Nothobranchius furzeri: one gene and its partners. The protein of the gene in region 1 binds, or shares a complex with, the protein of each later gene. Links are inferred from orthologs where the notes say so. Each region holds a gene or a part of one and is shown in the gene's direction. Other genes may lie near its edges.

Region 1 (2,864 bases):
TCCACTAGTTGTCTGAGTTTGATAGTTTTGTGGTTCTCCCTGCAGGCCGTGGTTGAGGAGGACTGCATGCCCATGGAGCAGTTCAGCCAGCATCTGTTGCCCAGCCTCCTCAGCCTCTCCTCTGATCCGGTGGCTAACGTCCGAGTTTTGGTGGCCAAGGCTTTACGACAGAGCGTCATGGAGAAAGGTGATCTATAAATAGACCCGGTGTGGGACATGCAGCTTGTAAAACATCCTCAGCTCAGAATTGCACAAGCAAAAGAGGATAATGTTTGTTACGAAGTTCCCGTTTGCTTCCTTCCAGCTTACTTCAAGGAGCCGGGCTGTGCCTACTCCGACGAGCTTGAAGAGACAGTGATGACTCTGCAGTCTGACAAGGACCGCGACGTGAGGTTCTTTGCCAGCTTGGACCCAAACAAAGGCTTAATGGACACGACTCCTTTGATTTAGCCTCGCCGCCTAAAACCCCATCACAGCTCACCTGCCTGTCTTACCTGTCTGACTGACTGATGCACAGTCAGCTTAACCTTCGACACCAGCACCCAACCAGACCCACTCCAACCCCTCGCCTTCCAGACAGACCCCCCCCCCCACCTCTTTGGGAATCATGCCAGAAGTTTGTTTTTAAGCATTTTCCTGCAACACACCCCCCGTCTCTGGTTGGGCAACACAAAGCGCACATTAATACAACAGAAACAAGCAATTTTTCTACAAAGTTAACGGAACACGAGCTCGACTCTGATGGCTGCCTTAGCTCAGACCGATCTCTGCCCCCCGCCCTCCAACTAACACCCACCCCGCCACAGACTTGCTCTCCAAAGCTCATACTAAGCTTGGTAATGGATATTAAAAGATATTTTTTCTTAATTTTTCTTTTTTGTGGGTTTCTTAACAAACAAAGCCTGACTAGGCACGTACACTAACTCAGGGGGACTCCAAACCTAAACAGCATTATTAAGCTCACACTGCTGGAGCCAGCGTGGAGAAAAAATCAGACCAGCCAAAAACGAGTAGCTCTGCTGGTCACTCGTCTCTGAGACATGTTGTCGTCTGAGACGTCCTCTTGTCTTTTCCCCTCACCTGATCTTTATGGGCCACACACAAAAAAACTCCACTGCTGCTGCACAGTAAGAACGATGATTCTGTTACTCTTTGATGTTTTGAAACCTAACAAACTTTTGCTTCCCCCGTCTGTGTCTGATAACCCAAAACAATGTGACGCAGTGCGTCTCCCAGGTGACGGGAGACTGATAAAATACCTCTGTTTGGACATGACCGGCCAGTGCGTCGCACACGTGGAGAGACAACTGTGATCACACAGGCTCTGAATGTCCTCAGACGGTGACTTTTTAAAGCTTTTTTTTTTTGGTTGTTATTTTCTGACATGATTCTGTGGTGTTTGGGAAGAAAAAAACACAAGGGCTCATGATGAACTGACACAGGGTGATTCCAAACTCTGAGAGGAGGAAGAAAGCAAGCACACTGTTGGATAATGCATGTTCCCCCTCCATCCCTACTGCTGTGTATCGTTTCTACCACTTCTTTAATGTTGATATCATTCTGTCACATCGTGGCCACGGGTGCTTTCAGTGGATCTGGCTGACCATTTGTACAGTAGAACATAGTAGGGGCTGTTGGGAGGCTGAAAGATTCCCCGTCTTGGTGGAACAGCTTTGAGTATAAATCAGATTTGTTTCACTTTTTTGTATAGCTTAAACCTGTGGAGAGGAAAAAAAGTGTGTTAATGAATAAGGCCAGTTGTGTGTGTGTGTGTGCGTGTGAGTGTGAGAATACTGGGAGCTGTCACCAAGTCACTTTTGTTTCTCTAGTCTCAAGCTCATTTGTTGTAAATGCCCCCCCCCCCCCCTTTTTTTTTTGTCCTCCCCTCTCATGAGCATAATTTGAGGACGTGAGCTGATTGTGGTGTGTGCTGCTGTGCATCTCAAGTCTTTCTTCCTTAGAAAGGAGAGCTCGCCGCAGTAATGGCTCATCTCGTCTGTCTGCAATGTGTGTCCATCTCATTTTTTATGTAGTAGAACAGTTAATATATACATTTTATGGATTTTTTTTTCTTTTTCAATTATGCACCACAGCTCAAAGATTTTATATCCTAACTTTACAAAATTTGCAATCTTTGTAATATTCAATGGTTTCTTTTAATAAGACATTTTATGTAATGTTATTTTTAGTATTCTGTAATTAAAATGATGGAAATAAGTGTGTGCGATGTTTCATCTGGTGGTGATGAAGCTGTTGGGTTCAGATAACTTTAGTTAAGATGTCAAAAAAGAAAAACATAAAATACAAATTACGTGTTTCTAAAAACAAACAAATTTTCTATATTTTCATCTTGTAGACCTAGTATAAAAGGAAAATGTGTCCTGAATGATACTCAGGAACTCCAGCATGTTTTACTGTGTGACAAGCCCTGGTTTTTAATAGACAAAAATGGATGCTAAATACACTGCAGCCAGCAGCAGCTGTCCCATCTAAGAAAGATTTACTACACTCTGGCTACAAATTTCTCAGAATGTTGTCAAAAGACAATTTAATACGTGAAAAATAATCTTTATGGGAGATTTTACATGTCAAATTTTAAATATAAGCATTTTAAGAATGTCATACATGTTTAGATTTTCAAGTCGGATTCAAAAGAAAGAAAAACATGGATTTTTGTGTTTATAGTGTTTACAGTAAGTGGAGGTGGGGGTTTATGCTCCCCCTCCTCTGAGCATGTTGCCTTAGTTGCTGTGGAAGACGTGATGCTGCCGAGGCAGACGGCTCCTCTGATGGCATTTCCTTGCCTTACCTTGGCTCATCTGGACTCAGGCAAATATAAATTTTTACGTGTGTGTGTGTGTGTG
Region 2 (3,655 bases), on another chromosome or scaffold:
GGCGGAGCTGGCTGGAGATGAGGAGAGCAGCGTCCGAGTGGCTGCTTTTGACAGCATCATCAACCTGATGGAGATGTTGGACAGCGGTGAGTCTGGGCAGAATCAGAACTCTTTGTTTCTGGTAGTGCTCATGCTGAAGTCCTGCCTCTTCCTCAGAGGACCGACTCAATGTTCTGGTTCCCATGGTGATGGCAGTGTGCGACGGATCATCGCAAGTGGATGAAGCTGTCATGTTGTCCTTGTCATTCCAGTTTGGAAAGCTTTGCAGTGGACTAGCAGGTGAGATTCACTGCTGGTGTTCCACAGAACCTCTGGACCCAGGTGACCATCAAACCAAAAGGGGTTTGGTTCTGCTTTAGGCTTAGAGAAGCAGTAAAGGCTGGCTGAGACTGGGCTCGGGGGCTTCTGCATCAGAACCCGAGTTCTAAGTGAGGTTGTTGTTTTTCAGGTTTCCTGTCAGATGAGCAGAAGTGTGTCTTGCTGCAGAAGTTTCGTGTTTTGTGTGTCTCTGGACTTCCAACTGAAGGGAACCCAGCAGATGGCACCAAGTCTGCTCTGATCCGCTCTAACTGCTGCTACAACCTGCCGGTACTCATGCCTTCACCAAACCGTACCGTTCTCAGGTCCTTCAGCTGCTGAGTTTCTTCTCTGTTCTGCTCATCCAGGCCATGGTGGTGTTTGTGGAATCCATCCACTTCCTGTCCGACCTCTACCTGCCTTTCTCTAGTCTCTGCAGCGACCCAGAGGTCAGCGTCCGACAAAGTGCTGCTTCCAGCTTCCACCAGGTGAGAAACATCACTCCTGTCCTTCTGTGATTGGTTGTCTGTTGTTAGATTACATGACTGCTTTTCTTAGGTGGTGAAGCTGCTCGGATCGAATGTCTACCTGGTCCACAAAGAGCTTCTGTCGCTGCTGCAAGATGAAGCTCTGGAGGTGAGAGGCTGCTCTCATGATTCATTGATTGGTGGAACTGGGTCGGTTCTGACTGCTGTTTCTGCTGTTGAGGTTTTGGATGCTCTGAGCAATCAGCTAGATGAAACTCTTGAGGTGGTTCTGTCTCGTGGAGAGAATCTCACGCTGGACAACAAGGTGAGAAAACCCAAACTGATCCAAGTCATGTTCATGGCTCATGGTCCACCCCCTCTGTCCTATGATGGTTCCCTGGGATGTTTCTCTTGTCTTCTGGTTCCCGGTTCTCCACAGCTCTCTGAGCTTCTGTCGGCTCTGCTGTCGGCGGAGCAGAAGGTCGGATCTTCTCTACGTTGGAGGCTTCATGAGAAACTGCTCCAGCGTTACAGGTGTCTGGCAAGACTTCTGCCGGGACAACTGCTGCACCAGAGCCTCTGCCCTCGAATCTTCATCATCCTCACAACCAACGTGAACATCCTCTGCCTCGCGTGATATCTCAGGTAACCCCGGTGATACACAGGTAACTCTACTCTGCTTCTCCTCGGCTGTAGAAAGTGTTGCCGGTGCAGAAGGAGGCTGCGCGGACATTCTGCACGTTTCTGCGCTACAATCGCAAACAGGAACAGCGGCAGGAGATGATGGAGCGACTGTTCCGAGGTCAGAGCGGTCCTTCTGCATACCACTCTTCTGGTATGTTAAGTCAGACGTTCCAGAACATCAGCTGAGATCTGTATTTTTCTGACCTTAGATCTGGCACAGGGTCACAGCTACTGGAACCGGCTCAGGTTTCTCGATGTTTGTGAAGTGGCCGCTGAAGTTTTCTCTCGGAAATATTTCAGCAAGCACCTTGTGATCCCGGCGCTAGAGCTTGTGCATGACCCAGTCGCCAATGTAAGGTAGAGGACTCACTTCTATCCCACACGGATCTGAAAGATCCCCAGAGTTAAAGCCAGTGTGTATTTGAATTTTCCCCTTTGGACTGGGTCGTCTGTTCCTCTTGTCAGGTATAAGCTCTGTCAGCTGCTGCCACAGCTGCGGTCTTCTCTCCGCCTGCCAGCGGACAAACTGCTGCTGCAGAAACTCGACTTGTGTGTCCAGAAGTTCCTCTGCGAAGAAAAAGATAAAGATGTGGTGGCAACAATTCGAAAGGTAACTCCAACCTTGGACCAGTCCATACTGGGAACTTGTAACACGTCTGGTGTTTAACTAAACTCCTCCAATCTTTCAGACGGTGTTGGAACTGGACAAACTGGACCTGACCGAGCCCGTAAGAAACCGGATCAGAGAACACCAGAATAGTGAATATATGTGTGATGATTGATGTGCCCTATCTGCCTGCAGTTCCATAAGAGACATGACTGGGACTTCCTGGACCAGAAGAAAGAAAAGGAGGAAATGCTGCTCCTGGAGATGGTAAGTCTCAGAATTCTAGCTAGTGCTGCCCGAATCCTTATGACAGATGTGTCGTTCACCAGGAACATCTGGAGCGGCAGCAAAACGAAGGGATACGGATCCCCAATAATCACACAGAGAGAAAACGTGAGCTAGAACTTTGTGGTAACAAAATCTCAGATGTTTGAAACTTCAGTTACATCAATGATTGTCTTTGGCAGGAAGAGACAATAAGACCAGTCTGTCCATCACCAAATCCATGTCCATGTCCTCGTCTACATCAGCCTCGTCCTCCAGTAAGACAATTATGATCATGGTGATGAAGATGATGATGATAGTGGTGATGGGACAGCAGTAGCTCAGGAGGTAAAGCGGGTTGTCCAGTAATCAGAAGGTTGCAGGTTCCATCCCGGCTCTGACCAGAAAATGTTGCTGTTGTGTCTTTGGGCAAGACGCTTAACCCACCTAGCCTGCCGGTGGTGGTCGGAGGAACCGGCGGCACCTGTGTTTAGCTTCGCCTCTGTCAGAGCGCCCCAGGGCAGCTGTGGCTACAATGTAGCTCATCGCCACCAGGATGTGAATGGGTGAATGACTGATTGTGGCGTTAAGCGCCTTGGGAGGTTGTATAACTCTAAGTAGGTGCTATACAAATACAGACCGTGATGATGGTGATGATGATGATGATGTCGGTGATGATGATGATGATGATGGTGACGATGATGATGATGATGGTGATGATGATGATGATGACGACTGTGATGACTATGGTGATGGTGACGATGATGGTGGTGACGATGATGTCGGTGATGATGATGATGATGGTGACGATGATGATGATGATGACGATAATGGTGGTGATGGTGATGATGACGATGATGATGATGATGGTGATGACGACTGTGATGACTATGGTGATGGTGACGATGATGGTGGTGACGATGATGTCGGTGATGATGATGATGATGATGGTGACGATGATGATGATGATGACGATAATGGTGGTGATGGTGATGATGACGATGATGATGATGATGATGGTGACGACTGTGATGACTATGGTGATGGTGACGATGATGGTGGTGACGATGATGGTGGTGATGATGATGGTGGTGGTGGTGATGATGATGATGGTCACGACGATGATGGTGATAGTGGTGGTGGTGATGATGATAATGATGATGAGATAATGACGATGATGGTGATGATGATGATGACGATCATGACAACGGTGGTGATGATGATGATGGTGGTGATGATGGTGGTGGTGATGATGATGATGATAATGGTGGTGATGATGGTGGTGATTGTGATGATGATGACGATCATGATGATGGTGGTGGTGATGGTGACGATG
Region 3 (3,655 bases), on another chromosome or scaffold:
CAGATTCAAAACCGGTTGCACAGCAGCCCGTCTGACATCAAATACACAGCTCTGCTTGTGATTGCACGCTCATAAGTGCATTCTGGAGGCCACGGTTTTTAAAAACACCAGTTTTCTCGTATTTAACTAAACAATTACACAGACTGTTCCTTATTTACTAGACAAATAAGGAGTCAGACGCAGCAGGAGCGTTATGACCGACTGACCTGTTGCTGGCCTCGGTTCAGGTTGCTGCACCATGTTCTGCCGGGCTCGGTGCTTTGATGTGAGGCTTGTGTTCCGGGAATGAAATAAGAATAAAATGCTCCCAAACTGCTAACCACTCCATGATTGAGCACAGTTGTTGGGTCATGTGACGAGCTCATTTAGTCTAACATATTGTGATAGCAGAAGGACTTGAAGCAGTTAACCTGGCAAACTATTTTACCTGGTTACAACATTAACGGCTATTAACCGTTTAACTAAGTACATCCCTGGTTCATAGAGCACGGGCAAAGGTCTGTGTGTGTCGGGGTGGTTTAAGGTTAACTGACCATTAAAGCTTCTTTCTGGAGTATTTCTCTTATCCGATGGCACCATCTACAAGCTTATCACACAAAATCGCTGTTCCTCTGTTTTTTTAAGCTTCACGTTCCTGTTCATATATGTGCTTCTGTAGCCGACAAACGGCTAAAACACGTTGTTTTCAATTCAAAAATACTTTATTAATCCCAAAGGGAAATTGATTGCTGTAGTAGCTCAGAATAATAATAATAATAATCAAGTCATCAAAGAGTTATTGTATATTACAATGGCTGTTGGCAGGAAGGATCTCCAGTAGCGGTCAGTGTTGCAGCCAAACTGAAGAAGCCTCTGACTGAAGACACTCTTCCGTTGTCGGACAGTCTTGTGAAGAGAATTATTTTACGAGTATTATTGTCATGTTGTGTTTTCATATATTTATATTTTAGAGACTAACTTGTCCGTGAAAAGTTCATGAACTCAGCATCGGCCGAGGTATTCCTTAAATGTGAAGCGTCTAAGCGGTAGTCTAATGCTATTGGTTAGTTCTGGCCGGCGCTCAGTTTCCTACTGCACGGAGCTCTGCGGGGCAGGGGGCGTGCTTGGCAAAAAAAAAAAAGATGTATCGCTTATATTATATCACAGTACATGATGAGATCATCACTTCTACGGATTTCAGAAAAATCATTCATTGTTTCTGAAAGGGGAAAACTCCGGAAAGCTGCTTTAAGCGTTAAAGGTGTCAATAACTGGTTAAAGAAATTGTAGAAAACGTGCATCCCCTTTTAATACCCAAGAATTGAAGTTTTACAGTATTCTGTGTTTTAACGTTACTGTTGGCCAATAAGGCGAGATGTTTCTATCGTAATATTGAGCCTTTATTTTTGGTCCACCACGCCTCAGACAAACTCCCTGTGAGACTGTTTTCACACAGAAAACGAGGCTGCATTATTGAAGCTGTCAATGGAAATGCTGCTTGGGATTTGTGTGTGTGTGTGTGTGTGTGTGTGTGTGTGTGTGTGTGTGTGTGTGTGTGTGTGTGTGTGTGTGTGTGTGTGTGTGTGTGTGTGTGTGTGTGTGTGTGTGTGTGTGTGTGTGTGTGTGTGTGTGTGTGTGTGTGTGTGTGTGTGTGTGTGTGTGTGTGTGTGTGTGTGTGTGTGTGTGTGTGTGTGTGTGTGTGTGTGTGTGTGTGTGTGTGTGTGTGTGTGTGTGTGTGTTAGTTTGGAAAAGCGATGCGACATGGGGTCACTGCCGACTTAGCCTATGTAATAGCCACAGCATGAACTGTTGAAACCAATAAACTAGATAAAACCTTTCCTGGCAGGTTGGTGGCGATGTTCCAGAGACTAACTACCTCTTCATGGGTGACTTTGTGGATCGAGGCTTCTACAGTGTGGAGACTTTTCTTCTGCTTCTAGCTCTTAAGGTAATTCTGGTCTTTGGTTTGTTTTTCACTCTTTATGACATTCTTAGTTCAAGTCATTTTCATTCATCTTTTGACCCTTGTTTGGCACCTCAGGTGAGGTATCCAGACAGGATAACTCTAATCCGGGGAAACCACGAGTCTCGACAAATTACCCAGGTCTATGGCTTCTACGACGAGTGTCTTCGCAAGTATGGCTCAGTCACCGTTTGGAGATACTGCACTGAGATATTTGACTATTTGTCCCTGTCTGCTATCATTGATGGCAAGGTGAGATATGGACGAGTTATTTAAATTTTCTGCATCTTTTTGTATTATTTTGGGTGTCGGTCTCTAAAGTTTTGTGTTTTCTGTGCATCTCAGATCTTCTGCGTGCACGGTGGTTTGTCTCCCTCAATCCAAACATTAGACCAGATCAGGACCATTGACAGAAAGCAGGAAGTGCCCCACGACGGACCCATGTGTGACCTTTTGTGGTCAGACCCTGAAGGTATCTGCAGGCTTTTGCTCTCTGAATAAATAGTGTGAGAGTGGCTTAGGGATGAGGAGTTTGCCCTGTAACTGGTGGGTTGCTGGTTTGAACCCAGGCTCTGTCTGCATGATAAACACTCATGTTGGTGTTACAACTGAACATACAACAGTAAGTCTTCGTGATCCTATGTTTCCTGTTTCTGTCAGACACCACAGGGTGGGGCGTGAGTCCCAGAGGGGCTGGCTACTTGTTTGGGAGTGACGTGGTGGCGCAGTTCAATGCTGCCAATGATATTCACATGATTTGTCGAGCACACCAGCTGGTGATGGAGGGCTACAAGTGGCACTTCAACGAGACGGTGCTCACTGTGTGGTCTGCACCCAACTACTGCTACAGGTGGGTAGCCAGGTTACATTGCATTAGTCGTTCCACTAGCAGAGGATGTAGATTACAGCACACAGTGGGAAAAACAATAACCTGCTGTTTGTCCTTCAGCTGTTTTCACACTTAAAGCAACATATAAACTTCCTCGCTTTTCATTCCTTCTGATTAAAAGCTGAATTAAAACCCAGCTGCAGCCTGCGGTAGCTAGCGCTTTCCCCAAAAAGCTGTCCCTGCTAAGAAGCCGCACAGCTCTGTATCTCCCGTTGCTGCGTGTGAGGTTCTTTAACCTTACCAGGTTTGGGTCCACTTCACTAAATGCGATGGCTAGGAATGGGAACCTTTGACCTTAAAATCAATATGGTACAAACTCCCAGTACCTACTACTGGTACTTAACAGTACCAGTTTTCTATACTTTTGAGTGTTTAATAATTATTAAAATCGCTTTTTTATTAAATATATATATTATTTTCCCCATATATAGCCATATTTGATGAATAACATACAACAGTTTGTATTTTATCATCGTAGTGTTGTACAAAATTCTTCAACATGAAAACTTTTAACAAGTTACTAAATGACGCAAAAATAAAACCAGCTCCATGGACCCTGATCCTCTCCTCCGCCCTCTGGAATAACTCTGATGAGGAGACCGTGTGTTATAAACTACAAATGAAACTAAAACACACTCCGATACCATACAACAGTTTGTATTTTAATATTGTGGTGTTTCACAAACTAAACCAGCTCCGTGTACTCCTCTTCTTTCTCCTCTGGACAAACTGTGTGATGGTGGGTTCTTGTAGTTTTATAAAATGTGTGATGGTGGTTCTTGTAGTTTTATAAACTATGATGGTGGGTCCTTGTAGTTTTATAA

Evidence for each region.
Region 2: ppp4r1l (region 1) and ppp4r4 share a complex: the UniProt entries of both Homo sapiens proteins name them as parts of the PP4 complex. The link is inferred for Nothobranchius furzeri from reciprocal best matches to the Homo sapiens genes PPP4R1 and PPP4R4.
Region 3: ppp4r1l (region 1) and serine/threonine-protein phosphatase 4 catalytic subunit B share a complex: the UniProt entries of both Homo sapiens proteins name them as parts of the PP4 complex. The link is inferred for Nothobranchius furzeri from reciprocal best matches to the Homo sapiens genes PPP4R1 and PPP4C.

What each region holds. Positions count from the first base shown.
Region 1 is NC_091743.1:58,792,614-58,795,477, forward strand, and holds the end of ppp4r1l (serine/threonine-protein phosphatase 4 regulatory subunit 1), read left to right. Parts: intron 1-45; coding exon 46-187; intron 188-304; coding exon 305-450; 3' UTR 451-2,218; downstream 2,219-2,864. UniProt on the Homo sapiens protein: Regulatory subunit of serine/threonine-protein phosphatase 4. May play a role in regulation of cell division in renal glomeruli. The PPP4C-PPP4R1 PP4 complex may play a role in dephosphorylation and regulation of HDAC3.
Region 2 is NC_091742.1:16,618,818-16,622,472, reverse strand, and holds part of ppp4r4 (serine/threonine-protein phosphatase 4 regulatory subunit 4), read left to right. Parts: coding exon 1-86; intron 87-156; coding exon 157-279; intron 280-448; coding exon 449-588; intron 589-665; coding exon 666-785; intron 786-855; coding exon 856-933; intron 934-1,005; coding exon 1,006-1,089; intron 1,090-1,203; coding exon 1,204-1,377; intron 1,378-1,460; coding exon 1,461-1,566; intron 1,567-1,657; coding exon 1,658-1,805; intron 1,806-1,913; coding exon 1,914-2,058; intron 2,059-2,137; coding exon 2,138-2,176; intron 2,177-2,250; coding exon 2,251-2,322; intron 2,323-2,384; coding exon 2,385-2,448; intron 2,449-2,522; coding exon 2,523-2,597; intron 2,598-3,655. UniProt on the Homo sapiens protein: Putative regulatory subunit of serine/threonine-protein phosphatase 4.
Region 3 is NC_091758.1:11,563,471-11,567,125, forward strand, and holds part of serine/threonine-protein phosphatase 4 catalytic subunit B, read left to right. Parts: intron 1-1,825; coding exon 1,826-1,927; intron 1,928-2,020; coding exon 2,021-2,194; intron 2,195-2,287; coding exon 2,288-2,414; intron 2,415-2,602; coding exon 2,603-2,792; intron 2,793-3,655. UniProt on the Homo sapiens protein: Protein phosphatase that is involved in many processes such as microtubule organization at centrosomes, maturation of spliceosomal snRNPs, apoptosis, DNA repair, tumor necrosis factor (TNF)-alpha signaling, activation of c-Jun N-terminal kinase MAPK8, regulation of histone acetylation, DNA damage checkpoint signaling, NF-kappa-B activation and cell migration.